4 linked regions of the Anolis sagrei genome follow. The main gene of each other region encodes a partner of the protein of the gene in region 4 in a complex. Links are inferred from orthologs where the notes say so. Each region holds a gene or a part of one and is shown on either strand. Other genes may lie near its edges. The genes, in order: CDHR2, USH1C, ankyrin repeat and SAM domain-containing protein 4B and CDHR5.

Evidence for each region.
Region 1: CDHR5 (region 4) and CDHR2 share a complex: the UniProt entries of both Homo sapiens proteins name them as parts of the IMAC/intermicrovillar adhesion complex. The link is inferred for Anolis sagrei from reciprocal best matches to the Homo sapiens genes CDHR5 and CDHR2.
Region 2: CDHR5 (region 4) and USH1C share a complex: the UniProt entries of both Homo sapiens proteins name them as parts of the IMAC/intermicrovillar adhesion complex. The link is inferred for Anolis sagrei from reciprocal best matches to the Homo sapiens genes CDHR5 and USH1C.
Region 3: CDHR5 (region 4) and ankyrin repeat and SAM domain-containing protein 4B share a complex: the UniProt entries of both Homo sapiens proteins name them as parts of the IMAC/intermicrovillar adhesion complex. The link is inferred for Anolis sagrei from reciprocal best matches to the Homo sapiens genes CDHR5 and ANKS4B.

What each region holds. Positions count from the first base shown.
Region 1 is NC_090022.1:78,164,506-78,171,653, forward strand, and holds the start of CDHR2 (cadherin-related family member 2), read right to left. Parts: upstream 3,139-7,148; 5' UTR 2,921-3,138; intron 615-2,920; 5' UTR 260-614; coding exon 240-259; intron 1-239. UniProt on the Homo sapiens protein: Intermicrovillar adhesion molecule that forms, via its extracellular domain, calcium-dependent heterophilic complexes with CDHR5 on adjacent microvilli. Thereby, controls the packing of microvilli at the apical membrane of epithelial cells.
Region 2 is NC_090021.1:247,950,088-247,958,020, reverse strand, and holds the start of USH1C (harmonin), read right to left. Parts: upstream 3,030-7,933; 5' UTR 2,892-3,029; coding exon 2,856-2,891; intron 1-2,855. UniProt on the Homo sapiens protein: Anchoring/scaffolding protein that is a part of the functional network formed by USH1C, USH1G, CDH23 and MYO7A that mediates mechanotransduction in cochlear hair cells. Required for normal development and maintenance of cochlear hair cell bundles.
Region 3 is NC_090034.1:16,409,722-16,417,511, forward strand, and holds the start of ankyrin repeat and SAM domain-containing protein 4B, read right to left. Parts: upstream 3,016-7,790; 5' UTR 2,975-3,015; coding exon 2,811-2,974; intron 1-2,810. UniProt on the Homo sapiens protein: As part of the intermicrovillar adhesion complex/IMAC plays a role in epithelial brush border differentiation, controlling microvilli organization and length. Plays a role in assembly of the complex.
Region 4 is NC_090021.1:240,588,319-240,596,252, forward strand, and holds the start of CDHR5 (cadherin-related family member 5), read right to left. Parts: upstream 3,074-7,934; coding exon 2,995-3,073; intron 1,630-2,994; coding exon 1,448-1,629; intron 1-1,447. UniProt on the Homo sapiens protein: Intermicrovillar adhesion molecule that forms, via its extracellular domain, calcium-dependent heterophilic complexes with CDHR2 on adjacent microvilli. Thereby, controls the packing of microvilli at the apical membrane of epithelial cells.

The sequences.
Region 1 (7,148 bases), on a different chromosome or scaffold from region 4:
TTGTTGGAGGCTACAGACAATGTCATTGCTGTTGCCCGTTTTTGGTCAAAAGATATTTAGCTGCCTGCGTTCCTTCTATTTTTATTAGTTTTATACTAATTTGTGGAATGCTTTTGATACAAAATAAATACATAAATAAATAAATCCCATGGTTCATTCCCTCCCTCCCTCTCTCCCTCCTTCCCTCCCTTGGTCATCACAGCACAACATGGATAGAGACAGCTGAGTTTACCCCTTACCTCATCTCGTACGGGATCATGGAAATGCCACTTGAGTCTGTGATAGACACTGGAGGTCTGAATACTTCCTTCAGACTTTGGCTCCTGTCTTGAATAAGCTGATCAATTATTAACTGAAATTAGAGGGTGAGGACTTTGGCCCAACCTCCTTGAACAGGACTCTTCCTCTTTTTCTTTTTCCTGCCTGAGGTTGCTTGGGCAGGTGTCAGTTCCAAAACAGGTCTTTGCAGGTGTCCTGGAAGGGAATCTCCAAACCGCTGGCACCATTCAGCCTCCATTCCCAATGGCTTTTCACATCTCAGGTCCTTCTCAGCTCTATCTCTCATCTTAAACAGCAGTCCAGTTGTCAGATTGTGGACCTGTAGCCAACCCAGCCTATGTGACAAACATGAATCAATAGTTATATTGGTTGCTTTGGTAACATTCTGTCTCAATTTAAGAGAAATATGGACAGATCTACTGAAAGCAATTAGGATCATGGTTAGAGGTGCTATCCTTAGCCAGCTGCACTGGCTGGGAATTACGGGATTGGTAGTGCAATAAACATGACAGATTGCTGTGCCAGGTTACTAAACTTAAGAGGATCTACATGGGTTGTGGACTATGGAGAAGAGAGGTACATCTACACTGTCAAAATAATGCAGTTTTACAACACTTTAACTGTGATGGCTCAATGCTATGGAAGCATGGGAACTATAGTTTGGTATTTATTTATCGTGTCAGGCAACCAAACAGTTGTATTAAATTTTTGACAGAACAAACAAACAAACATACAAAAGACAAGCTTGGTGTTGATTAAATGTCCTTTGACCAGTATCTGGCCATTTGGAGTGCTTCTGGTGTTGCCGCAAGAAGGTCCTCCACTGTGCATGTAGCAGGGCTCAGGTTGCATTGCAGCAGGTGGTCAGTGGTTTGCTCCTTTCCACATTCACATGTCGAGGATTCCACTTTTGTAGCCCCATTTCTTAAGGTTGGCTCTGCATCTCGTGGTGCCAGAGTGCAATCTGTTCAGCGCCTTCCAAGTCGCCCAGTCTTCTGTGTGCCCAGGAGGGAGTCTCTTATTGGGTATCAGCCATTGATTGAGGCTCTGGGTTTGAGCCTGCCACTTTTGGGCTCTCACTTGCTGGGGTGTTTCAGCGAGTGTCTCTGTAGATCTTAGAAAACTATTTCTTGATTTAAGTCGTTGACATGCTGGCTGATTCCCAAACAAGGGATGAGCTGGAGATGTCTCTGCCTTGGTCCTTTCACTATTGGCTGCTACTTCCCGGTGGATGTCAAGTGGTGCAATACTGGCTAAGCAGTGTAATTTCTCCAGTGGTGTAGGGTTCAGACACTCCGTGATAATGCGGCATGTCTCATTAAGAGCCACATCCAATATTTTAGTGTGGTGAGATGTGTTCCACACTGGGCATGCATACTCAGCAGCAGAGTAGCATAGCACAAGGGTGGATGTCTTCACTGTGTTTGGTTGTGATCCCCAGGTTGTGCCAGTCAGCTTTCGTATGATATTGTTTCTAGCACCCACTTTTTGCTTGACGTTCAGGCAGTGCTTCTTATAGGTCAGAGCATGGTCCAGAGTGACTCCCAGGTATTTGGGTGCGCTGCAATTGGTGAGGCATCAGAACTATTTGGCAGAAAAGGCCAAAAACCTTGCCTTTTGCATGATTCCCATGAGCCATGGCAGTTAAAAGTAGTGTCAAACTGCATTTGAAAGTGTAGATGCACCCAATGTGAATTATTTCACCCTACATACCATTTCAACCACATGCAATCAACTATAGAGGATCATAAAGTGCCCCTTCAATGGAAACACCAATTTAGGCAGGACTTTCTGCAGAGATTCCTTTTCTGTATCCTGCAACTATTTCAATTTGGAAAACAGACCCCTGATTAATCCTCTGTCATCCTTTCAGCTGTTCTTAAAGCATGCCAGTCCCGCTCTCCTTCTCCCACTTCTTTCCTTTGTCCTCAGCTTTCTTCAGTTGAGGTAAACTGAGTTCAAAGTACAAAGATAGTAATTAACTGACTCGGGCAGAAAGGTGTAATTTCACCCTTCCCAGCAGGTTCAGGCAAAGGAAAAGTGCTGCAGCATCTTCCTATCTTGTGTGCTTTACTAACTGATACATTTTGCATCTTGACCACACTCTGATGTTGCTTGGCAAGATGTGTTCTGGTTTTTATCTGTGAAATATTGGAGGGTATGCTTTCCCCCCTGAGCTGCCTTTGTATCCCTCTTATTGCTCTCTCCTCAACCTGCCACTTTGTATCCCAGATCTCCCAGCCAAGGAATGTGAGTAAAAGCCCAAGGTAGCCATTTAAAACAGGGGTGGAAATCAGGTAGCCCTTCAGATATTATTGAAATGTATTTTCTGTCTAACCTTTCCAAAGCTATGGTCCAAATATCTGGAAAGCAGCACCTTCCCCCACCCTACTTTAAACCCTCATTCACATCCTGTAACATTTCTGAACAAAGGTAGGAGTTATTCCATATGTTGACACTATCTTGGTTTGTCAACTGGTTTGCTTCTATGTGCCTTTCCACCACTGCTTGGCATGCAGATATTCATAAGAGAGCCCTTTCTACTTGGTTGTACTTCCACATAAACATTGCATCTCTTGAATTTCTGGTTGCCAAGATGACAGCTTTACCATGAGACCGGCAGGAGGAAAAGCTATCTTACCCCAGGTTCCTGCGTTTGATTCTCCTGCCTCATGGTCCCTTTCATGCCCAGGCCTTGTTTTGGGGGAAAATCTGGTGAGGCCAGGGAGGGCTGCCTGTAGCCTGGAAGGGCGGATGAGGCCTTTTGCTTGCGCTGCCGGTTTGTGCCTTTGACTTTGCACTGAAGTAATTGACAAGTAAAAGGATTCATCAGACAGGATCTCAGTATGTGTGTATGTATGTGTGTGTTTGGGGGAAGGAAAGTGGCTGCAGCCTCCCCAATGACCTACTTACAGTAACAAATGAGGATTGTGCTGTCTCCACTGAGGCAGAAGATGAGTTAGGCCAGAGAAAGGGAGAGAGGTTGTGCCAGCTCAATGATGTGTTGTTTGGGCCAGAAAATGTATTGTCACTCCTCTCACTGTGACCAGCAATAACAAGGCAGGAGCATCCCTACCAATGGAGGAAGTATGCTAGGATTCAAGAGAGACATTTTGCAGTGATCGCATGGCAAATATTCTTCTTGCTGCCTTTGTTGATGTTTAGAGTTCATTCCAGATTATCCTAAATGTTATTATATATTTTCCAAAATTCACATATGAAAAATAGGACATGCAAGACAAAGCAACATAAGGGTGTAGTCAAGAAAGCAAAAGTTATTAACAAGCAAGTGTTATCAAAATAATCAGATCCCCCCCCCTCCCAAAAAAAATATTAATTATGAGGCTCAGTACCATGGAGATATACAGCATGCCCACTTTATCTTTTCCATTTCGCCCTGCAATAGCCCTTCATACATTTCTTTGGAAAGTTGCTTCACCACACCACAGACTCCAGTAAACAATGCCCCAAATTACCATAATCCTTTTACAGTAAACTGGAAGGTTTTGGGGGTGGGACTCACAATGGGTTTGCATCACAGCTACTGGATCCTTTTCCTGTTTCCTGATACAATCTGGGCTATTACTGGGAATGGTTCCTCTCCCATGCCCCCAGCCAGACTCACCCTTGTGACACCCACTGAGATGTTCATCAACCTAAAGCACCCATTGTTTACCTTAGACTAATTCTATTGTACCTATCAGAGCTAAGGCATTATTGACTGCAAAATGGCTTTTTTTCCAATCACTCCTATCTCAGAGGTAAATCAATAAATGGACAGACTCTTCAAAATAATCCAGTGACAATTTGAGTTTCCCAACACAATGAAGATGAACCAGCAATGACGTCTAAGGGAATCCCAGACTAATTATGAAGTGTATCCTAGTTGGACAGTTTTTGAGCCAAATAGGAGTTTGTACAGGTATCTTAAATAGTTGTCAAATGAAATACATGTGCTCTGTGTTCGCAATTATGGGATGTCAGTGTTTTCTCTGCTGACAACCTCTCTGGCCATTGAGAATAAATCTTTGATCTTGCCTTCATCCCATCTATGTCTCATTCAGCCTTCTGGGAAGCTAGACACTCTGGACTCTGAAGCTGTGGTTCTTGCAGATGCTGACATCACATAACAGAAGAGCATACAACCTAGGAAAAGCTGCAACAGTTTGCTTTTCCCTAAAACTACAGGGTTGGCTGTGATTCCATCCCTTCCTTGCTAGAAAAGAAAGATGGCAAGACATATCAGTTATGAAGGCACCATAGTCCCTTGAAACATTAAACAAGGCTGGTTTACAACAGAGGTAGAAACCATATGGCTGGGCAGGTTTGCAACTGCTAGCATGGGTCACAAGTAGCTATGCTGGCGAATGCATCTCAAAGTTGCAGTTCAAATATGTCCAGAGGGCTATAATGTTCTCACCTTTGGTTACGTTACTAGGAAATATGATTGTAAATGAGATTGCTTTACCTAACAACTCATTGCATCAACTAACAGGAATCATGGTGACTAGAGGATTCTGAACATTAGAGTCCAAAAAGTAAATTTACCAAGCTCTGTTAGGCGTAAGTGAGATACTTAAGGTTCTGTGTACTATGTCTTCCACATTTAAAATGCAGTATACCACTTTATTGGCCCCTGTGAATAACTATTCACTTCTATTCTTATAACCACTGTGTACCATGGCCAACATTTTGCTACCTGGAGCAAATATATTTATTTATTTATTTATTTATTTATTTATTTCAAGCATTTATATCCCGTACTTCTCACCTCCAAAGAGGGACTCAGGACAGTTTACAACAGGCAGCCATTAGATGCCAAAAACAATATATTAAAAATCACAGTTACAATTAACACAATTAAAACAATTATAAGAATTCAATTAAAAATGGTTTGACGGTTCAAAACATCATGGTTCCTACAGCCATGCAAGGCGTATATTACCCCAAGCAAACCATGTTATTATGACATATGAGACAGAAGATCACACAAACTCTCATCACATTGGCAGTAAAACAGACTAATGGCAATTTAATTTGCTAACAATTTGCTGACCTTTTATGACATCCAAAATTTGCTGCCTCGGGTTGCCCTTTCACTCTGCCTAATGATAGGGCCAGCTTTATCCATACATGAAGATCCCACAGTTACCAGTAGCAATTTCCTCAAGTTTCATTTATTTATTAAAATATACGTACCCAAAGAATTGGAGAAATGTTCCTCTTTCCCTTTTTTGTCTCTCTCTTCTGTGCAGCAGGTGCTACTTTGGAGCCACCTGAGTATAATAAGTTTGTGACACATTTGAGTCACCTGCATGTGTGCATAACCAAGATATAACATATGCTTTTATGTATGTTAATGCTGTTATTTCTCTCCAGTATTCTGCAATTGTTTTGTATGTATGTAGGTTCAGAGGGGTGCTCCTCACATCTATGGTTGGTTGACTACCAGGTTCTCAAAGAGCTTACTACTGAATTCTCATGCTGCAACATCTTCACACTTATCATTCCTGTGATTAAGGCTGGATCTACATTGTAGAATTAATACAGTCGAACACTTCTTTCACTACCATGGTTCAATATCTTGGAATCCTGGAATCCATAGTTTGGTGAGCCACCTACACGCTCTGGCAGGGCAAGCTAAAGAACTTCTAAAACTACAACTCCCATAATTCCATAGCGCTGAACCATGGCAGTTAAAGTGAGGTCAAATTGCATTAATTCTATAGTGGAGATGTACCCTTAAATGAATTAAAGATTTGCATAAATTTGCCGTCACTCCTGCTGCTGTAGAAAGTGTCAGCAAAACAACAAGAAAACAATTCTACATAAACAGGATGGATCAGAGCTTTAAAAAGGTAACATCCCCCCCCCCCCCCTCCCAACTACAGCTGGTCACACTGATTGTGAATATGTGGCATTCCGGGATCTATAGCCCCAAAAAGAAACTTTTCCAAGCTCTATGATGACTGTAACCAAGCCAATGTTTTCCCCTAGAGAGTGTTCTGTGACATTGAAATGCCAACAGCAACAATGCACATATTAACTTTAGAGCAAATGGGTCATCATTGATTATTCCAACTGGTATGCAGGCTGACAAGGAAGAAAGCCGTTGGGAAATGTCAATGTTATGTAAAAGTCAGAACCTTTGGCCTCAGAGTGAAATAGGAGGGAAAACCCAATGCATGCAATTATATTAAGATTTTTTTTCCATTTAGGTTACACCCTAAGACTATTTATTTGGAAATAACACATGATATGGTTTCTATTTGAGTTTAATTTTTAATTTGATTTTTAAAAATGATTGTGAAGAGGAGAAACAGAAAAAATGAGAGAGAGGAAAATAAAACTATAAAAGAAAGAAGAAGCAAATAGAATATGAATGAGTTCTTGTTGACTACTTTGATATAAGGTAACCATATTCTCCAAAATGACAGATAAAGAATGCTTGTTTTTCTATTTCCTGCTTGGGTTAGCTAGAATCTTTACTTCTTCTTATATGCCTTCATGCCAACCCTGATCTGTGGTGACCTTCTCCTAGGGTTTGTCTTGGCAATATTTATCTAGTCCTCTCAGGCAGGAAGAGTATGACTTACCCAAAATCACCTAGTGGAATTCCAACTACCTAAACAGAAATGTGCAACAACATTTTTGTTACATCCTAAGGAAGGTACATGTATGACTACTGCTTGGACAAGAGCTGTCCTTGTACTTCAAAGAGCACAGCGCAGTGCATGTCAGTGGGGTGTTGACATTATTTTGGGTTTGAGTCTAAACTGTAGAAGCCATCTAACATAATTGAAACTGTTTCTGGGGAAAGATTTCAGCACAATGGATAGCTCCTTTAACGGTCAGGCTGAAACCCACAG
Region 2 (7,933 bases), about 7.4 Mb from region 4:
GATGTTTCTAGTTACTTTGGGCAACAAATGACCTAGTTTTAATTCTGTTTTGTCTGAGATACCAGGCTGTCTAATTACTTAGAAATGTATTTGCAGGTGATACAACTCAGTTTGAGTTGTCTTGAGTTTTTTCACTTTGAGATTTTAATGAAAACAGAGGACTAATCATGCAGATTCAATCACTATTTAATGTGTTACTTTACTGATGCTACAGCTTTTATTTATTTGTTTATAAAAATTGTACCCCAACTTTCTCTTAAAGTGAGATACAAAATGGCTTATCTTCAGTGCTGTTTAATATTAATTTAGTCCTAGTAGCTTCCTAGCATCAAGAAGCCAATAAAGCAAGATTTTGAATAGTTTTTTTTCCCTTTGAAGAGCCAGCTTTTTCCATTTATTGGGACTGTGGGGAGAATAGAAGTCTATGTGAATCTTATCAGCATAAAAGGCCACAGGTACAAGGTACAAGACCATAAATATTACGTTAGATACATATGCCAGCTGTCTGTCTGCTGTTGCCCATCCCAATGTTGATAGTTAACAGGTATAAATGTTATAATCATACAACTATGCCCAGTTTTTATTAGAATCATAGCATTGGAAGAGACCTCGTTGGCCATCCAGTCCAACCTGCTGCCAAGAAGCAGAAAAATTGCATTCATAGCAATATTAGTTTTAAAATTGGTGAAAACTAGCTTAATAGTCTTAATATCTATTTTTACAACAGCTTTTCCCTTTCAAGGAATTTTCAGAAATTTGTCTTTAATATTTGATAAGTTTCAGTCTAAGTTATAGAAGACTTAAAGATTAGTGTAACTTTTATCTGTTGTGTTAGAGAGGTCCAATCTAAAAACCAGAATGGAACTCCACTGAACGCAATTAAATGGGGGAAATAAAGATCAAGATTCCAAAGAAGAGGAGACACCAAAATCCAGTTTACCAAAACCAAAGTAATCTAAACACACCTTCAGGATAAAATTCTGTTGATTAATTTTTGTAAATGATCAAATAAACATTGTATAACAGCAACAATGGGGTTATATGGATGGTCTTCATACATTATATGAAGAATGAGGCACAAATATCTGAAGACTCAGCATGGTGGAATGGTTTGAGCATTGGACTACAACCCTGGAGATCAGAGTTCAAATTCTGAGTCACCTATGGAAACCACACTGGGTTTTTTTAATGTCAGGAGCAAATCGAGCCCCCGGAGGCGTAATGGGTTACACCTCCAGCTGGCAGGACTGCTGACCTAAAGGTCAGCGGTTCGAATCCAGGGAGTGGGTTGAGCTCCTGTCTGTGAGCTCCAGCTTCTCATGCGGGAACATGAGAGAAGCCTCCCACAGGATGTTAAAACATCTGGGTGACCACATTGGGTGACTTTGAGGAAGTCACTCTCTCTCAGCCTCAGAGGCAGGCAAAAACAAGCCCTCTCTGAACAAATATTTCAAAGGAACCCCCCCCTCCCATAGGTTAGTCTTGGGGGCACCATAATCCAGGAAGGACCTGTTACACAACAACAACAACAACAACAACAACAACAGGTATTAGATCATTTTTTATAAGGTATACAAGCCTGGAAAACCTGTAGGAGGTGTGCAGACAAATGTTGATCGGTTTTGCATATTCAAACAAGCTGGAACAGCCTTCCACACTCAACAACTTTTATCTCTGATGTGAAACCGAAAAGGGAGCTTTTTGTAAATGAAACCCATTATTAATGCACCACTGACTGAACCTCTGAAAGACAGTTTCCATTTGACTTTGCGGCACTGATAAAAAGAAATAGGTTCAAACCATGTTGCAAGAATATGCCTGTATCATACCCTTGAGTCCAAACTTCCTCATCTCACCCTGTTGACTTGCAACTCTTAGATTCACTTCTTTTAAAAACAAAAACAAAAGAACTATTATATAATAGAAGCTTCTTTGCAACGTCCCTTGGTCCCTGACAGAGAGAGAGAGAGAAAGAGGAAAGGAGGGATAGTGTTTATTTTGGTTTTTGAGTCCCCTGGGGGAGAGAAAGCGGGCTATAAATGAATTATTATTATTATTTGAAACACAAGATGAGTCCACAGCAAACAAAATCATTCTGTGGGCTGCTGTATTGGATCACATGTCAGACACTTCCCAAGTGTCTAGGACTGTGTGATGTATCGGCGAATAATGTGTGCAGATCCCAGTAGGGTAGCAGATGGTAATTTTGCCAGTGTCAATTGTGTTTAAGTGCAGGCCGAGGTCTTTAGGCACTGCACCTAGTGTGCCGATCACCACTGGGACCACCTTTATCGGTTTGTGCCAGAGTCTTTGCAGTTCAATCTTTAAATCCTCATTATTATTGTTGTTATTGTTATTAAATTTTCTTTTTTGTATACAATTGCTCACAGGGAACATTATTTTTGAGGGAGCAAACTTTCCCAAAAGTTCCAAAACTTTGAAGTTTGCTTCTTCCTTTTCTCTGCTTGGCGCTCAGGTGGAATCCAGGTGCCCTTTAAGAGAAAGTGGACCCGAATTCCCACCTGCCCGGGGGAAAAAAGAAAAGAAAAGATGGGTGGATGGGTGGGTGGCAAGAGTGAGGCCAATGCCTCCCTCGGAGGTGCGCCTCGCCGCCTGACCTGCCGGGGAGAAGCGCTTCCTTCCCTGCCCCCTCCCCCCTCCCCCCTCCCCCTCCCCCCCGCAAAGGCCGAGTTAATTGATACCCAGAGTCCAGAGTCCCGCAAAATGTCCCCCGCGCAGCCGACCCAGAGCTAGAGAAAGTGACTCCAAGCTGAGGAGCCAAAGCCGCGGGGGTCCCTTGGCAGGCAAGAAGCAAGCAAGCGGGGAAAGGCGAGGGCGGCCCTCTTCTTTCTTACCTTGTGCCTGAACTCCCTGGCCACCTTGCGCTCCATGGCAATGAATGGGGGAGAGCGAGAGCGACTGCCTCTGAGCTCTTCGCCTTGGCCAGCCTGCGCGCCTGCCTTCCTTCCCTTCCTTCCTTCCTTCCTTTCTCGGCTCAGGTCGGGCGCGCAGAGCTCGGAGTCACCGCCAGAGGGCGCAGCGCAGGGAGGAAGGCAAGGAAAGGGGAGGCAAGGCAAGAGGTTGGGTTCCTTGCAGGGCGGGCTGGCCAGGTGTCACCTTCCCTGTGATAGGAGTCCCCGGTGGTCCAAGAAAGGGCTCAAGGCTGTGAGGAATTGTGGGAATTGAAGTCCAAAACACCAGGAGGGCCTAAATTTGCCCATGCCTGTTGTAGATGCTGGTACACAGACAAATACACACATGGGAGCCAGGCTTCAGCCCCCCCCCCCCGAAATTCTCATGGTGGTCCGTGAGAAGGCCTTACTGGTGCATTATTTAAACTGTTATGTTTATTCATATCATGATCTGATCACCATGCTCAATATATCCCATATGCATGGAGGTATTGGGGTAACGAAACAAAAGGTTTGCTAGGCTAGACCCTCTTTCACTCAGACTCAGCCCCCCCCCCCCCCCCCCCGAATCAAAATCCTGGCTACCGGCCTGATGGGAGCAGTGGTGCACTGGGTCTAAAATATTGGTTACCAGGAGAGCAGTCCCAAAACTATAAGGCTATCATTGAATATATGGCTATCAATGAATGATTTTTTTAAATACATCAGTGGAAAAAAGGTACAATTAAACTTTGCGAAATAAATGTATATTTTTAGTAATTACAGTGCACATAATCCAGTGGATACTTAATGTATATGCCGGATTGTTATATTAAATTTTTAATAATGTTTAATTTGAAATAAATGTTGGATTGTCTCATGTTTAAGGGACCACTTCTCATCATCAGGCAAGCTTTGTGTGCGTGTGTGTGTGTGTGTCAGGAGCGACTGAAGAGGCTGCAAGTCTGGTGTGAGAGAATTGGCTGTCTGCAAGGACGTTGCCCAGGGGACTCCTGGATGTTTTATCATCCTTGATAAAACTTCCACATGATTAAAAACTCAAATATAACAATCTGCATTTACATTAAGTATCTACTGGATTGTGTGCCCTGTAATTATTATTATTTTTGGTCGTGTCAGGAGTGACTTGAGAAACTGCAAGTTGCTTCTGGTGTGAGAGAATTGGCCATCTGCAAGGACGTTGCCCAGGGGACGCCCGGATGTTTTGATGTGTTACCATCCTTATGGGAGGCTTCTCTCATGTCCCCATATGAGGAGATGGAGCTGACAGAGGGAGCTCATCTACGCTCTCCCCGGATTCAAACCTGTGACCTGTTGGTCTTCAGTCCTGCCGGCACAGGGGTTTAACCCACTGTGCCACTGGGGGTCCACTGTAATTATTAAAAATATACTGTAATTATTAAAAATATACGTTTATTTTGCATAATTTTACTTGTGCCTTTTTCCCATTGAAGTATTTTTTTAAAAATCCATTCATGGATGACTATGTTTAAACCAAGAGTGGGGATGCTATATGACACTTTACATGACCAAGTATACCTAAAAAGAAAATGGAAACAATACACTGAAGAACTATATAAAAGAGATGAAAGGATAGCAGGTTCATTCAAGAAAAAATGATTAGAAAATTAAGTGGAAGCTGCAGTAAGAGTACTTGGGAGAAATAAATCATCAGGAACAGGTAGCATATCAACAGAGCCCACATACTGGAAATAATCAAAATGATTTACAATTTTCAAGAAAGGGGAAACCAATGATTGCAGTAACCATTTCATAGATTGTAAAAAAAAAAGCCTTTGGGGGGTATATGTGTATTCTTTATTATTATCATTATTTTTAATTGCATAATTGTATTTTTAAAAATTAATTTGTCCAGGTGAAAGATACAGATCTGGTGAAAACAACAACAACAAAAACCCACTTCAGGATCTAATTGTGATAACTCCATTTGCTGTATCTTTCTGCATTGTTTTCTTAATTTTTATATCATTTAAAATGATTCTATACTTTTTAAAGTTAGTGATGTTTTGATATGGTACCTTATTTAATTGTTTTTATGGTTTTAGTTTGTTTTACCCTTCCTTTAAATTGCCTAGTCCCAAGTTAGAAGTATTTTTGAATGATGATGATGATGATGATGATGATGATGATGATGATGATGGAAGTTCACAATTCATTGTCATGTGAAGACTATAAAATATATCACCTTCATTGCACTGGCTGTCTATTTGCTTCTGAACTCAGTTTAAGATATTATTATTATTAATAATAATAATAATCTTTCTTTATAACCTGCCACAGTTTCCCCAAGGGGACTCGGAGTGGCTTACAAAGGTACTCCAAGGTGCAGCATATAACATAAATGGTATATGACTATAAGACACTCGCTGGAACGCCTCAGCAAGCGAGAGTCCAAAAGTGGCAGGCTCAAACCTAGAACCTCAACCAACGGCTGATACCAAATGAGAGATTCCCCCCTGGGTACACAGAGGACTGGGCGACTTGGAAGGCGCTGAACAGACTGCGCTCTGGCACCAGGAGATGCAGAGCCAACCTTCAGAAATGGGGCTACAAAGTGGAATCCTCGACATGCGAGTGCGGAGAGGAGCAAACCACAGACCACCTGCTGCAATGCAACCTGAGCCCTGCCACATGCACAATGGAGGACCTCCTTGCAACAACACCAGAAGCACTCCAAGTGGCCAGATACTGGTCAAAGGACATTTAATCAACTACCAAACTCACACATTTTGTATTTTCTCTATTTGTTTGCTTTGTTCTGTTAGAAATGTAATATAATTGACTGGCTGCCCTGACACGAGAAATAAAACTATAAAGCAATATCACATAGAAATTATAAAACAACCACCACAAAAGATTAGGACCAGAGATAACAGTGAAGTTGAAGTGGGAGAAATTCAGGACAGATAAAAGCTTTTTTAAAAACCCCGATTATATTCATAATATACATATGTATATCATTCATTCAACTATTTCCCCCACAAATATTAAACAAGTAAAATACCCTAAAATACATAAAACATATAAATAAGAATTCATAAACTTATTTTCCTCACGAATATTATAATCAAATATATTCCTCTATACAACTAAAGAACGATAAAACAAATCGTACAATAGAATATTATCCTCATGAATATTAAGCAAGAATTATCTATTACATAGCACATATGATTCTGAGTACAGTTTGAGTCTCCATTGCAGTATCTCCAAATCAGTCTTGCCAAAAACCAGCAGGCAACTATCATATATGTCTATGCACCAAAACCAGATGCCAGCAAAGACATCAAAGAACAATTCTGCTGTCAGCGGGATATCATCCTATGAGACATACCTAAGGAGAAGAAAATAACCCATTTTCCATACGAATATTAACAACTAATACAGTTTATACTTCAACTGGCAGCAATCTTTCTAGAACTGGCCTGTCAGATTGTTATTCAACATCCTTTGAGAAACCACCAACCCACCCACCAGTGCACTACATTACTAGCTTCACGCCCATCAATTGAGGTTGCATCACTCATATAAAGATATAGACCAGAAGACATAGGGAAATCCAACAATATAGAGCACTTTAAAAGAGGATTAGAGATATTCATGGAGAATAAGGCTAACAAAGGTCACAATCGATATATTACAGCCATGACCAGTGGCACTATGATTCTGAGTACAGTTTGAGTCTCCATTGCAATATCTCCAAATCAGTCTTGCCAAAAACCAGCAGGCAACTATCATATATGTCTATCCACCAAAACCAGATGCCAGCAAAGACATCAAAGAACAATTCCGCTGTCGGCGGGATATCATCCTATGAGACATACCTAAGGAGAAGAAAATCATCCTCCTGGGTGATTTATACACAAGAGTTGGGCGAGATTTCGGCCTGTGGCCAGGAACTATATGGAAAGCCAGGGTTGGAGCAGTAACCCAAATGACACTTTACTTCTCACTAAATGTGCAGAACACAATTTTATCATCACCGACACACTCTCTCACTGGAAAAACAAGTTTAAAACATCATGGAACACCCCTCTGGAAATATTTCTGCTGATGTTTGAGGTATCTTCCTCAGATTATCCACTATTAGTTAGCCACTCCTGTTCTTTTGGCTGCTGCTCTTTTTCCTTTGCAGGTAATACCTGGAAATCAGGAAAATAATTTCTACCTGATGGGACATGTTATTTAAAAAAATGTAGTTCTTTCATGCTATCTCCTAATGAGCTACTCCTGATATTTTGGCTGCTGCCTTTAGTCTGCATTCAGACTGAATCAAAGCTTAGGTGATTCACAGAGGAAATATTTCCAGGGAGCTAGCAAGGTTAATCTATTATGCTGAGTTCTGTAGTACCAAAAAGACTAATAAATGTGATTCATGGCATAAACTTTCATAGATTTCAGCCAAATGAGATTTAGATAATCAAGCTTTACCGGGAAAAGGAATGCCAATCTGTAACTTCCAAGTTTCTCTTACAATGCAAATGCAATATAATATGTTTGACCTTTTAGGGGGCTACATCAATGTCGGGGGGGGGGGGGGGGAGGGCATGAGAATTTACTCTCTCTTCTAATTTTGATTTTCCCATTAGTATTTACAGCAGAAGAGCATTCTTGATGAGGACGTCATTGCTGTTTCACCATCTTACTGAAGTGAATTACTTGTTATGGCTAGAAATACAATACATGGGCACTAATTACAAAGAGGGGAATGAGATCTTTTTAATTACTTACTGTTAACAGACTTCCTAAAGCAGTTTGAAAAAAGACTCTTTTAATCTGACACTATTTCTCACCTGCCATTGGCAGCTTTTAAAGCTTCTGTTACAAGATAGCTGAAAGATGAAGTGAAAGAGACAGGGGGTCAGGGAGTGAGAGTGAGGGGCAGAAAAGAAGGAAAGGAGATAAATAGGCAGAGGAACAAAAAGAGAGAAGGTTCACACAGAATGAAGGAAAGCAGGAAAGGATAGAGAATTAAGAAGGCCAAAAAGGAACACTGTATA
Region 3 (7,790 bases), on a different chromosome or scaffold from region 4:
GTTTACCTGAAGTCCAAATGGTTTTCACCATATTACTTTTAGTATTGCCCAAAGGCCAGTGATAGAAAATAACAAATGAAAAGTGATTAAAACTAGAAATTTTATTGTGAAAGCAGGACATTTAATTTTATTTATTTACATTCAGTCAGCCCTTTGTACGTATGGATTAGCATCCAGGGATATTGCCACTCTGGGTTTGAAAATATATATTTTTAAAAATTCAAGAAGCAAAGTTTGATTTTGCCATTTTATCTCAAGGACACTATTTTATTATGCGATTGTATATAATAGGACTTTGGTATTTATGGATTTTGGTTTCCATGGGGAGTTCTGGAACTAAACCCCAGTGGATATTATTAGATTATTAGTATTGTATAGCCACATGTACTAGAGTAAAGGTTTCCTTTGACATTAAGTCTAGTTGAGTCTGACTCAGGGAGGTGGTGCTCATCTCCATTTCTCAGCCAAAGAGCCAGCTTTGTCCATAGACACCTCCAACATAATTGCATGGGAGTGCTGTTACCTTCACGACAAAGCAGAACCTATTGATCTACTCATATTTGCATGTTTTCGAACTGCTAGGTTGGCAGAAGCTGGGGCTAGCAACAGGAGCTCACCCTGTCCCACAGATTTGAACTTTTGGCAAGTTTGGCAGCTTAGTGGTTCAACCCGTTGCACCACCACGGCCCTTCACGTGTCCTATAGTGGAGTCTTATTTTAAGAGATATTATATCGGAAATGGATAAAATACCACAGGAAAAAAATAGAGAGTGAGAAAATACACATGCAGACATACACATTTTTTCAAGGCTGTGCTCTTGCCCTGAGATTCTTCCCATCTGAGAAGTAAAGAGGAGGACCTGAGACTTGGGCACACTCTATCTGAATTATTCTAATTATTTTTAAAGTTCTCTATACATACAAATTAGCTTGTGTATGTTTTATGTCAATTAGTATCATACGTCTGTAAATGGCTGATCTAAAAGGAATGGTTTTCTGAGTCCCAAGTTCTAATCTAGACGCTTTCGTTTTAAACTGGCATGTTATTGAATGAGTTTTAATCCGTCTTACTCTTATGTCTACATCTTTTAATATATGTGTTTTTAATGGTTTTCTGTTTTTATGAGGCCACAGTAGCACAGCAGGTTGAACCGTTAGCTGCAGGAAAGCTGTCGACTGGAAAGTTGGTAGTTCAAAGCTGTGAGTCAGGGTGAGCTCTCAACTGTCAGCCCTAGCTCCTGCCAACCTAGCAGTTCAAAAGCATGTAATGCGAGTAATCAATTGGTACCGCCTCGGCGGGAAGGTAAAATGGTGCCTCATTCACATTGCAGATATGCCAGTAACACAATCGGAGATGTCCATGGACAACAGGCTCCTTGGCATGGAAAAATGGTACAATAGCACCTTCCCATGGCTGGAGTTGAGCATTGCCTCCAGACACCAGAGATAGAAAAATGGGAAGCCCTTTATCTTTGTGTTGTATGTTGCTGTTCAGTATGTAGAAAAAGGCAGGATATAAATAAAGTGTATTATTATTATTATTATTATTATTATTATTATTATTATTAGAAACACAACAAGATGAGTCCACAGCAGACACCCTGCTAGCTGTTGTATTGGATCACACGTCTAACACTTCCCAAGTGTCTAGGACTGTGTGATGTATTGGCGAATAATGCGCGCAGATCCCAGTAAGGTGGCCTTCTGCAGCTGGCAGATGGTAATTTTGTCAGCGCCAATTGTGTTTAAGTGCAGGCCAAGGTCTTTAGGCACTGTACCCAGTGTGCCAATCACCACTGGGACCACCTTGACTGGCTTTGCCAGAGTCTTTGCAGTTCCATCTTTAAATCCTTGTATCATGTCAGCTTTTCCAGTTGTTTATCTTCAATCCTGCTGTCACCTGGGACTGCAACATTGACAATCCATACTTTGATTATTATTATTATTATTATTATTATGGTTATTATTGTTATCAATCACCTCAAACCTTGAGAAATGGGTAAGAAATTCAATATATCATCATCAACATCATCATCAAAGCTACACAGAACTCCTATTAAGTACAAAGCAATATGTTGTCTATTTCCTTCTTCCAGCCATGTTTTGGGTGTGGACTGCCCTTGGCTCTCTTTCCTGGATCAACTTTGACACAGATTGATTGGCATCAGAAATGTAGGTTTTTCAGGCTATATGGCCATGTTCTAGAAGCATTCTCTCCTGACGTTTCGCCTGCATCTAAGGCAAGCATCCTCAGATTAGTGCATGATTGTACACCAGGCATGGGCAAACTTGGTCCTTCCAGGTGTTATGGACTTCATCTCCCATAATTCCTAACAGCCTCAGCCCCCTTCCTTTCCCCCCTCAGCCACTTAAGCAGAAAAGGAAAGGGAAAAAGAAAAGGAAAGGGCCCGAGACTGTCCAGAATTGTGGGAGTTGAAACCCAAAACACCTGGAGGGCCAAAGTTTGCCCATGTCTGGTGTACAATCATGCACTAATCTGAGGATGCTTGCCATATATGCAGGCGAAACGTCAGGAGAGAATGCTTCTAGAACATAGCCATATAGCCCAAAAACCTACAACAATCCAGTGATTCCAGCCATGAAAGCCTTGGACAATACACACACTAATCATTTCAAGTACCTACTGCAATTTTGTGACACTTCTCTACTAATGAAATCTTTAATTGTTTTAAGGGGCTATACATTTTTGAGGGTATATCAAATTTATTCTCCCTAAATTATAAGCTAAGGACACCCTACATTTGCAGTCACAATATGTTGTGATCTGTCCATAGGCTGACGGTACTTACCCTCTTCGGCAAATGATTTCCAGAGCGTCCAGATTGCCATGATAGGCCACCAGCAGAGTTGGAGTCATCCCATCCATATCGGAAGTGTTCAGATCTTTTCTGGTGGCTTCCTTCAGCAATTCCAGGTTGCCATCGGCAGCTGCATGGTGGTACCGGGTGGACATTGTGTTCCCCTTTCCAGGCTGATTCCTTTCACACTGTGCAATGCGACACACACTACACTGCTTCTCATCAGAGGGATGGTTAATTAATAATCCCTGACGAAGTCATCAGCTCCAACAAAACACAAACGAAGAAGCAAAGGTCACTCCCAGCTATGGCTTACGCTCTGCAGGAAAGCAATATATTGTCTCAGCTTTAATGTATGCTACTATGTCATCGACTCATATCAGCCAGCACGTCAATGACTTAAATCTAGAAATTGTTTTCTAAGATCTACAGAGACACTCGCTGGAACACCTCAGCAAGCAAGAGTCCAAAAGTGGCAGGCTCAAACCCAGAACCTCAACCAATGGCTGATACCAAATGAGAGACTCCCCCTGGGCACACAGAAAACTGGGCGACTTGCAAGGCGCTGAACAGACTGCGCTCTGGCACCACGAGATGCAGAGCCAACCTTCAGAAATGGGGCCACAAAGTGGAATCCACGACATGCGAGTGTGGAGAAGAGCAAACCACTGACCACCTACTGCAATGAACCCTGAGCCCTGCCACATGCACAATGGAGGACCTTCTTGCGGCAACACCAGAGGCACTCCAAGTGGCCAGATACTGGTCAAAGGACATTTAATCAACTACCAAACTCGCAAATTTTGTATTTTGTCTGTCTGTTTGTTTGTTTTGTTCTGTTAGAAATGTAATACAATTGACTGGTTGCCCTGACACAACAAATAAATAAATCAACTCATAGAGTTGGAAGAGATCCCAAGGGCCATCCAGTCCAGCCCTTATCTGCCAGGGAGGAAAAGCACAATCAAAGCACCCCCAACAGAGCCATTCAGACTCTGCTTAAAAACCTTCAACTCGCTTTTATTTGTTCATGTATTCAGTATGCATAAATAATATAGTTTGTTTATAGTCATCTCTACTATCTCACCCATAGGAAAATGCAAAAGATATGGGTTAACTACATTTCCCATCATGCTAGGTCAATACCCCCCAAACCGCACCAGCATTTTAAATTGGTCAGGATGGGTACATATGCCAAGCTTAGTCCACGTTCATCATCAGTGGGGTTCACAGTGCTCTTCACATATGGGTGAACTATAACTCCCCAAATCCTCTGTCATTGCTCCCCAAACCCTGATAGTACTTAAAGCTGGTCATGATGGGTATGTGTGTCACATTTAATCCAAGTCCATCATGGGTTATGATCTGAATGCTCTTTGATTGTGTGTGAACTATAACTCCCATCATTCTTTGCTATTGCCACCCACTAAACCCTGTCAATATTTAAAGTTGGTCATGATGGATATGTTTGGTCCAGATCTATCATAGATGGGGTTCACGGTGCTCTCTGGAAGTTCCTTCAGGGTGAACTGCAATCCCCATCGTCCAGGGTACATCTCCTCCCCAGCCCCCAACCTCCCCAGCCTCCAGTATTTTATTTTGGTCATTGCGGGATGGGTGGGTTTGCCAAGTTCGGTCCAGATTCGTAGTTGGTGGGAGTTGTAATGGTCTCTGGAAGTGGGGACCATCTTGAAAGATACATACAAACGCACATATACATACATACATAGATAGATAGATAGACAGACAGACAGACAGACAGACAGGAAAATAGACAGACATTTTAATAGTTTTGTGTTTAATCCCTCTGTATGAATCATGTAGTATTACGCTTCAAACTTCAAGGAGAGGCGAGTAATAAGTTCTTCACCACCACCACCACCACCACCACCACCACCATCATCATCATTATACTGCAAGTCACATACTTACAAAAAGCACTGCTTCACTATCAAACAAAAAGTGGGTGCTAGAAATAATGTCATACGGAAGCTGACTGGCACAACCTGGGGATCACAACCATAAACATTGAAGACATCTGCCCTTGCGCTTTGCTACTCTGCTGCAGAATACGCATACCAAGTGTGTAATACATATCACCATGTTAAAAGAAGTGGATGTGGCTCTTAATGAGACATGCCACATTATCACAGGATGTCTAAGCCCTACACCACTGGAAAAATTATACTGTTTAGCCAGTATTGCACCACCTGATATCTGTCAGGAAGTAGCAGTCTGTAATGAAAAGACCAAGGCATTGACATCTCTGGCCCATCCTTTGTTTGGATATCAGCCAGCAAGCCAACACCTTAAATCAAGAAATTATTTTCTAAGATCTCCAGAGATGCTCGCAAGCACACCTCAGCAAGCAAGAGTCCAAAAGTGGCAGGCTAAAAACCCAGAACCGCAATCTGTGGCTGATACTAAATGCGAGACTCCCTCCTGAGCACACAGAAGACTGGGCAACATGGAAGGTGCTGAACAGACTGTGCTCGCGGGCCATGAGATGTAGAGCCAACCTTCAGAAATGGGGTTACAAAGTGGAGTCCATGACATGCGAGTGTGGAGAAGAGCAAACCACAGATCACATACTACAATGCAACCTGTGTCCTGCCACATGCACAATAAGGACCTTCTTACAGCACAGCACAGCCACTTGACATGGCCAGCTTCTGGTTTTTTATTCATTATAACTGTATTCTCAATTCGCTTCTGACATGATGAATAAATCATCATGATGATCTATGGCACTGATTCTCAACCTTTGGGTCTCCAGGTATTTTGGCTTACAACTCGCAGAAATCCCATCTGGGGACCCACAGGTTGTGAACCACTGGTCTATGTCATATTTGACAAAGTATGCATCATCAGTTCAACGCCTCTCGTTCCCTTTTTGGCAAATCTGGAAAACCCATTTTCCCAGTCTGCATGAATCATAGAATCATAGAGTTGGAAGAGACCTCATTGGCCATCCAATCCAACCCCATTTGGCCAAGAAGCAGGAAAACTGCATTCAAAGCACCCCCGACAGATGGCCACACAGCCTCTGTTCAAAAGCTTCCAAAGAAGGAGCCTCCACCACATTCCGGGGCAGAGAGTTCCACTGCTGAACATTGGTCTTGCTAGCTGGGGGTTTCTGGGAGCTGTAATTAAGAAGCAAGCATCCTGGCTCTGCTCTTCAAACCAAGTCATTCAACCTGTTTACTTGTTTCACAGCTAAATATAAAATTATTCAGAGACTAATTGGATTGTTTAATTAGACACGAAAACCTCAAATGCCCTGACTTAAATGACTGTCTGAGACATTTTACATAATGTTTGGGAAGGCACAAGATCTCCCGAAATTAAAGCCTGAGGCTCAAATCACACTAAACTAAGGATATCATTTTGAGCCATGAAAATAAAAAAAGGATTTTTTTTGGTCTGTATCCTGTGTCACCACTCAATTGACAGAGTCACTAACAGAAGGAACAAATTCAAAAAAGCAAATACAAGGAGGAAGGGAAAAGCTTAATTAGTTTAATGGTTGTTTCTGTCAATTGGTTGAGAAAAGCTCACCCCAGATCCCCTTTCAGTATTTTATTAGCCCTTCTGATCAAGCAGAGGGAGAGGAATGCTGCTTGAATGGGAGCCTTTTTGTCCCTTCTTTCGAAAGCGTTGAACCAGAAGCAGGGCGGCTTGCCTAGAATGCATCCTTCCTTTCTCTCTTGTCTTCCCTGAAAAGATGTTCCAAGGTGCGAATCACTCCATTCTCAAAAGGGAAGGCGAAAAAGGCGATTCATTAGGATAAATGGACAAAGGTTTGAAATGGCACTTGATCTTTCTGAATTTTGTTGGCTCCAGGCCTGACAACTCAATACATAAATTGGTTTCTGCAGACGCAAATCACACTGTGTTTCACTGATTTGCCCCTCTAGATTTGTAGCCAAACCTTTTTTTTAATGGAGAGATTTGAGGATGTTTGGCTAATGAGTGCTTTGGATCATCCAAATGATGACTCACTGGCTGGCAGGTCCGGATTGCGGTTGCCTAGACAATTACGTTTTCTGAAAATATCGCTGTCCAAACTGAGTTGTTGTAGGTTTTTTCGGGCTATATGGCCATGGTCTAGAGGTATTCTAGCCCGTATCTAGGTGGTCAGTTGAAACATTCACACCTAGCTCCAGCAGACAGGAGTCCTTTGTCTCACCCTGGTCATTCCACAGATATATAAATCCCTTTTCCTACTTCCAACAGACCTCACTACCTCTGAGGATGCTTGCCATAGATGCAGACGAAACATCAGGAGAGAATGCCTCTAGACCATGGCCATATAGCCCGAAAAAACCTACAACAACCCAGTGATTCCAGTCATGAAAGCCTTCGAAGAAGAGAGTTCTCTGCACCCAAATGTGCCTGTTTATTGCCTAGCCCCAGGCATGTAGCCAGGGGGGGGGGGGCTTGGGGAGCTTCAGCCCCCCCCCCCCCGAAATTCTCATGGTGGTCCGCGGGAAGGCCTTACTGGTACATTATTTAAACTGTTATGTTTATTCATATCATGATCTGATCACCATGCTCAATATATCCCATATGCATGCGGGTATTGGGATGATACAAAAGGTTTGCTAGGGTAGACCCTCTTTCACTCAGACTCAGCCCCCCCGAACCAAACTCAGCCCCCCCAAACCAAACTCAGCCCCCCCCCCCCGAAACAAAATCCTGGCTACGGGCCTGCCTAGCCCATATGTAGACTTTTGTCCTGCTGTCTTAACTTTTGCTTTACGGGAACAGTGAGCTCTACTGTATGTGTGCCTTTGAGGTCCCATCTACACTGCCATATAATCTAGTTTCTGATTCCAGATTATCTGTTTTGAACTGGATAATATGGCAGTGTTAATTCCCCTGACATTAAGTCCAGTCGTGTCCAACTCTGCGGGTTGGTGCTCATCTCCATTTCTAAGCCGAAGAGCTGGCGTTGTCCATAGACGCCTC
Region 4 (7,934 bases):
CAGAAGTAAATCTACACTTAAGTGCAAATATTGACAAGTCCAACCAATTTTCAAAGTTCATTCTACTAATATTATCAATACGCAAGAACTAGGGTTACTAGATTTTAAAAAATGAGATGTCACCATTTGCTGAGTCGAAGAGGAAATTTCAGTCAGTTACCAGGTTACAAAGCAAGGTTACAACAACAACAACATCTGTTATAGAATATGCTGATGACAATGTCATCTGTGCACATTCAGAAGAAGACCTACAAGCCATTCTAAACACCTTCACAGAAGCATACAAGAACCTCAGCCTGTCATTGAGCATCGAGAAAACCAAAGTACTCTTCCCGCAGTCACCAGATAATCCCTCTTCAATGCCAGAAATTCAGCTTAATAGTGTAACATTAGAAAATGTTGACCATTTCCGCTACCTTGGCAGCCACCTCTCCACAAAAGTCAACATTGACAGTGAAATGCAACACCGCCTGAGCTCTGCGAGTGCAGCATTTTTCCGAATGAAGCACAGAGTGTTTGAAGACTGGGACATCTGTAGGGATACCAAGGTGCTTGTTTATAAAGCTATTATCCTCCCAACCCTGCTATATGCCTGCAAGACTTTGACTATCTACAGACATCACATGCAACTCCTAGAATGATTCCATCAGCGTTGCCTCCAAAAAAAATTCTGCAAATCTCTTGGGAAGACAAGTGGACAAATGTCAGCGTGCTGGAAGAAGCAAAGGCCACCAGCATTGAAGCGATGGTCCTCTGTCATCAACTCCACTGGACCGGCCACGTTGTCTGGATGCCCGGCCACCATCTCTCAAAGCAGTTGCTCTACTCTGAACTCAAGAACGGAAAACGGAATGTTTGTGGACAGGAAAAGAGATTTAAAGATGGGCTCAAGGCCAACCTTAAACACTCTGGCATAGACACTGAGAACTGGGAAGCCCTGGCCGTTTAGTGCTCCAGCTGGAGGTCAGCTGTGAGCAGCAGTGCTGTAGAATTTAAAGAGGCACCAATGGAGGGTGAAAGAGAGAAACGTGCCAAGAGGAAGGCACATCAAGCCAACCACAACCAGGACCGCTTTCCACCTGGAAACCAATGCCCTCGCTGCGGGAGAACACGCAGATAAAGAATAGGGCTCCACAGTCACCTATGGACCCACCGCCAGTCCATCGATCCCAGACAACGAGGGATTGCCTAAGTAAGTAAGTTACCAAGTTGCATGACAAGCAATACCTGCTCAAATTCCCTCTTCTCCACAATCCTTATAGGAGCAGAAACTGTTTCCATTTTTCACTCTGATAACACTAAGCTTTTAGGTGTATTTAGACTTTGGCTGGACTGTATCGATCCACTTCATACTGTCTTTATATTCATAGGAACATAAGCAATGGCTTTTCTCGATAAACAGCTAACCACATCTTACTGTGCCATTAATCCCCACTCTGTCATTTACCTCATAATCCACTGAATATTTCAGGATAAGTTGTGAGTCTTTTATGTCAAACCACTCAGGGTTTGTGTCTGATGCCGGGGCAATTGTTACAGTGACACCAGCAGCTGTCGTAATGTTGGTGACCACGACTCCAGGAGCATTGTTCTCCTCAATACTAGGACTGGCATTCTCCACAGAACAGTCTAGTGAAACAAAAGGAAAGATTTCATGTCTCTGGAAGTGCAGTCTAACTCAACAGAATCATTCATATCTGCCAGTATCGACTGACTTAGAATTTTATACTTTAATTTAAAACTAGAGTTTTATACTTTAATTTAATATTTTATTGGCAACAAGTGAGAACCAGTGTGGCATTCTCAGGGCCATCTGTTGGGGGTGGTTTGAATGCAATTTTCCTGTTTCTTGGCAAGGGGTTGGACTGGATGGCCCACAAGGTACCTTCTGTTATTGCAGTTTGAGCGCTGGAGGCTCTGGAGACCAGGTTCAGTTCCCTGTGCAGCTTCTGAAACCCACCTTCAGCCCCAGAAAACCTCATTAAAGGATCACCATAAGTTAGAAACAATTTGGAAGCACACAACAGCAGTAGCAACAACAACAACGTACAAATGCTTTATAGGACATTTCATATAACATGGCAATAAGCAGATATGCAAGAGATACATCCAAATAATAATATTTTATCTGATATCTAGACTGGGGACATGCCAATGTTTGGCCTTTCATCATTCAAAATCTTTTCCTGTGCCTTTATCAAGTATACACCTTTGTAATTTGAGGTACATCTAATCCCATATTAAATTTAGATATTGAATTCCCTATTCCAGACACTATGTAAAATTATTCCCATTCATATTGTTAATTTAGAATTAATTGCCTGAATTAGATAATATTATAAAGTAGAGCATTTTTTAAATTAGTACTAGTACCTGTGTTAATATTATTATTTCTGTTGGCTTGAATCTCTTTACATATTGTCAAAAGTTCATTGTTCTGACAAAAAAAACTTTGCTAGCATATTGGAAACATAATACTGATTCTTCCCCAGGCAAGATCTCTTCTTGAAATATACAATGTATTTTAGTGTTCTTGCTGCGCTTCTGTTCATGCTTATAGAAGAGAAAACTCCACGAAACTCTGTGGGAGTTTAATTTGAAATAAGCATCTATAAGCTAGTGCTACGTATTTAAAGTATATTTAGGTGTCCATTCAGTTTTCTGGTCAATTTATTACAACACCATGAACTTCATAGGGTTTTCTTAGGCGAAAAATACTTAGAGGTGGTTTGCCAATTCCTTCCTTCAAAATATACGCTAACCTAATTCACCTGGTAGTTTTGATAGTCTCCCATCCAAAGACTAACCAGGTCCTGTTTAACTTCCAAGATCAGACAGGATTTGGTGCTTTTAGGCTATTTAGGCAATCCATATATTGAAAATATCTATGCCTTTTGTTCCTCTATGGGTGTATCCAAACAACTATCCCTCTTGTGTTGTTTTTAACAATTAACCCTGAGTCAGTATTTGCTCCTGTCTCCCAGGCATACTTACATGCGCTCTGTCCTTGGACATGAAGTACAGATACCAAGACAAAGACCATACAGGTGCAGAGCTGAATGAAAAGAGCCATCACACTGGTGGAGGGAGGGGAGGAATCCAAAATCTAAGAAAAGCGGTCTTCATTTATTATCATCATGAATCGTCCTTTCACTCTTCCATCAGGAAGTACCGTAATGCTGCAAATAGTACTTTGCTAACAGAGGAGTTTAACCTTTGCATCTTGGTTTATTGACTCACTTATTTATGACTTATTTACCATCACTCATCAGTGACTGGCTCAGTGGAAAGTACTTTGTCTTACCTTGGAGACTGGGTTGTTCTTACATTGCAGAGGCAGTCCCTGCCCAGAGTGAGTAGCTGCCTTGGGCTACGTATTTTGGGTATCATGGAAGGGTGATAGAGGTTCATTGTGTTTTGCTGAAACAAAAAGATATGGTTATGCGGTGTGTGGTTTGCCTTGGTTGGGCAGGATGCATTTTGGCTTTGGTAAGTGAGAGATACCATTTGCAGTTCTGACTTGGGCAGAAAAATATCTTGAAACTATCACCACTTCAAATGTCTACTTAGTCCACTGCATTCAGGGAGACTTACCATATATACACATACCTCACATGTAAGTCAAAGGCAAGTTTGGGGGCCAAAATTATGGCCAGAAAGCGCCCGTGCCTGCTTGGAACTGAGTGCCTCTCTTCTAGTGTAGAAACAGGTAAGAAGTTTCCTTAAGGTATGCACCTGCATGCAGCTGAGCACCTTTCCTCTAGAGTAATGTCTAAAATGACAGGAGGGGGAGCCTGGGAAGCCCCCCCCCCAATAATGGGCTGATAGAAAACAGATCTTTCAGCACCCCGAGCGAAAACAAATATCTGCCCTCCTGATTTCGGGAAGCTCCCAAAAACTGATCGGGGCCGCCACTGAAAGCCAGGACACGAAACGAGTCAAGATTTACCCTGAAAGCACAACCCTACTTACTATTATTTATTTATTTATTTACTGCGCTTATATACCGCAATTCTCAGCCCCCAAGGGCGACTCATTGCGGTGTACAACATGACAAAAACAAGTGCAATCTACAGAGCATAGTGCAAAACAGTGTACAATTCATCATAATCATAAAAACATCTTAACAAAATTATTACTACATTCCGAATCGTCTCATCGTCAAGCCACAATCCGATCTCATTTCCGGTGTTCCATTCCTATGGTCAATTGCCAGTCATTGCACTATTGATCAAATGCCTTCTTAAATAGCCAGGTCTTTAGCTTCCTGCGGAATATTAGCAGGGAGGGGGCTAGCCTGATGTCCACGGGAAGGGTGTTCCACAGCCGAGGAGCCGCCACCGAGAAGGCCCTATCTCTCGTCCCCACCAGCCGTGCCTGTGAGGCAGGTGGAATCGAGAGCAGGGCCTCCCCGGAAGATCTCAAAGTCTTCGAGGGCTCATAGGCCGAGAGGCGGTCAGTTAGGTATTTTGGGCCGGAACCATTTAGGGCTTTATAGGCCAATGCCAGCACCTTGAATTGAGCTCGGTAGCAGATCGGCAGCCAGTGGAGCTGGTACAGCAGGGGGGTTGTATGCTCCCTACATCCCGCTCCTGTTAGTGTCATGGCTGCCGCACGTTGGACCAGTTGGAGCTTCCGGGCCGTCTTCAAAGGCAACCCCACGTAGAGAGCGTTGCAGTAGTCTAAGCGGGATGTAACCAGAGCGTGGACTACCGTGGCCAAGTCAGACTTCCCAAGATACGGGCGCAGCTGGCGCACAAGCCTAAGCTGTGCGAATGCTCCCCTGGTCACCACCGAGACCTGGGGCTCCAGGCTCAGCGATGAATCCAGGATCACACCCAAGCTGCGAACCTGCGCCTTCAAGGGGAGTGCGACCCCATCCAGCACAGGCTGTAACCCTATACCCTAGGGATAACAGGCATAATAGATTGATTACTTTGAAGACGTATGACAAACTTTTCATTCTGATGACAACTGCAGCAAGAATTGTATGTCTTTGGAAGTGGAAACCTAGAAGAAACTCCAAAAATGAAAGAATGGATAGTAAAAGTAGCTGAAATAGTGGAAATCAACATTTTGACAAAATAGCTTCAAATAAAGGATCCTTCAATGTTCAAGAAAGTCTGGGAACCCTTCAAAACATTTCCTGGAAGTAATGTTTAAAATTTTAGTCTATTACATTATATTTTACACAATGAACTGGATAATATGGAAACAATAAACATTCTTGTGTATATGAAAAAGAGGATATGTAAAAATTGGATGATATATTTCAATTTTTTTAAAAAAAAGAAATTTGGGAAGGTTTTAAGTCCCCAGCTGAGCCCTGGGATTTAAGAATTATTAATAACAATGAATAAAAATCTGGGCATGAACTGAGTGGTTTCACCACATTCACCTGTAAAGTTAGTGCAAATAATTTCCAGCAAAAAGACAAAACTCTTGGAGATAAAGGTTTTGGCATTTTTTTCCACTTCAAAAGTTCAGGATTGGTTTTTCAAAATTCTGATGCAGAAGTTATAATGAATGTCTTTTATATGTATGTATTTATTTACTATATTTGTATACCCCCCCTTCTCAGCCCTCAGGCGACTCAATTATAAAATATTATATATACCATCAGTCATTAGACCAGGGGTCCTCAAACTTTTTAAACAGAGGGCCAGGTCACAGTCCCTCAAACTGTTGGAGGGCCGGATTATAATTTTTTAAAAAAATGAATGAATTCCTACGCACACTGCACATATCTTATTTGTAGTGCAAAAAACACTTAAAACAATACAGTAATTAAAATGAAGAACAATTTTAACAAATATAAAATTATTAGTATTTCAATGGGAAGTGTGGACCCACTTTTGGCTGATGAGATAGGAATTGCTGTTGTTGTTGTTGTTATGTGCTTTCGAGTCGTTTCAGACTTAGGCTGACTCTGAGCAAGGGCCGGGTAAATGATCTTAGAGTTTGAGGACCCCTGCATTAGACAGTGTGTAGCCATGAAAAAAATCACTGGGTTTCTTAATTTCTTTAGTTATGATGTGGATGTGATTCTGCTTTTCTGTAGTTTCGTTTTATTTTAAAAAATAAATTTTCTTGGATGGAAATCTAAATCTGTGTCTAAATTGCAAAATTAAATAACTACAAAATGCTTTGAAATTATGGAATGAGGTGTTTGTGGGGGAAAGAAAAAGCTTCTCCAGAAAGGCTCTCAGAATAGTATATAAAGGTCATTTGGATTGCTGCTTTGATCTCTCACTGTGGCAGAAAATCCCCTTCCCTTGGAGATTCCACATTCCTCATAGCAAATGTTTTTCCTGAGATAAATGCTCTCAGTATTTTGTAGTTGCACTTTAACTTGTGGCAACCCCTGTTATAGCCTACGCCTGTTACTTTCATACTGTGCCAACATCTTAAAGTTTTGGAGCACATGTTGAATGTTTCTTAATGTAACCCACATTGGCAGTCAACTGTAACCTTCCCAACCTGACATCCCCCAGATGTGGTTTGACTGCAGTCCCCGTCACTCTCAGCCAGCATGGTTACTGGCCTCATGGTTACTGGCCTGCTCAACTGGATAATAGGCACTTGAGTCCAATGCATCTGGAAGGTGCCCAAGATTTGGAAGGGTGCAAACCAAGTTATGATAGACTGATACTGTTATGGAGTATTTGCATTCATCCAGTTCAGTGTAGTGGTTTGAATGCTTAATCCGTTGTTGTTGTTGTTTAGTCAAAATTATTAACTATTTGTATACAAGATGGCTCAAAATCCCAGACCCCAAACTACTTTCTCACCTGCAGGGAAAAATTATTCATCACATTTTTCTGTGAGTGAGAGAAAGCAGCTGGGTGAAAACAAGTTTTGAAAGATAAAGGAAGGCTTTATTTGCATTTCCTGCTTTCCAGCACTCTGTGAAGTGAGATACACTGTGAAGTTTGGACCCAAGTCACTACTTGATTGATACTGCAGTGATGAACTAATGAAAATGCAAGTGGCTGTGCCTAAAATTAGACTATTGAAGCCCTCTAGTGGGTGGTTGCTTGCAGTGCGTCCATGTCTCTATATAGGTCTAATATTTTCCACAAAATCCAAGTCCAGACCACCTTGAAAGTCTCAAATGACCCTCATCTGGGACATCTCTGTAGGATTGATCTAATCCCTATGTAAATGTCAGATGGTATAATAAAATCATACAATTTGAAGAGGCCACAAGGGTCATGCAATCCAGCCCCCTGCCATACAGGAACCCACAATCAAAGCACTCCAAACAGATGGCCAGCTAGCCTCTGCTTAAAAACCTCATAAAAGGGGACTCCACCAGACCTGGGATGACATATTCCATTGCTGAACAGTTCTTCTTATCATCAGAGAGTTCTTCCTAATGTTTAGCTGGAATCTCTTTCCCTGCAATTTGAGCACATTGCTCTGTGTCCTAGTCTCCAGAGCAACAGAAAACTAGTTTGTCCTCTCCTCAATGTGACATCCTTTCACATATTTAAACATGGCACTATCATGTCTCCTCCCAGATTTCTTTTCTCCAAAGCGAAACATACCCAGCTCCTTAAGCTGCTCCTCATAGGGCTTGGTTTCCAAATTTTTGAGCATTTTAGTTGCCCGAGTCACATTTCAGCTTGTTAATATCCTTCTTGAACTATAGTGCCCAGAACTAAACACAATATTCCAGGTGAGATCTGACCAAAGCAGAATAGAGTAGTTCTATTATTTCATTTGACATAGGCACTATGTTCCTATTGATGCAGTTTAGAATTATATAGGGTTTTTTTAGCTGCCACATCATACTGTTGACTCATGTTTAGCTTGTAGTCTACTCCTTATCACATTGAGAAATTTCCCCCTCGTAGGACACTTCAGCCTCTTTTCAAACATGGAGAGGTACAGAACTCATCACATGTGTTAAACTATTTCTGGCCATCATG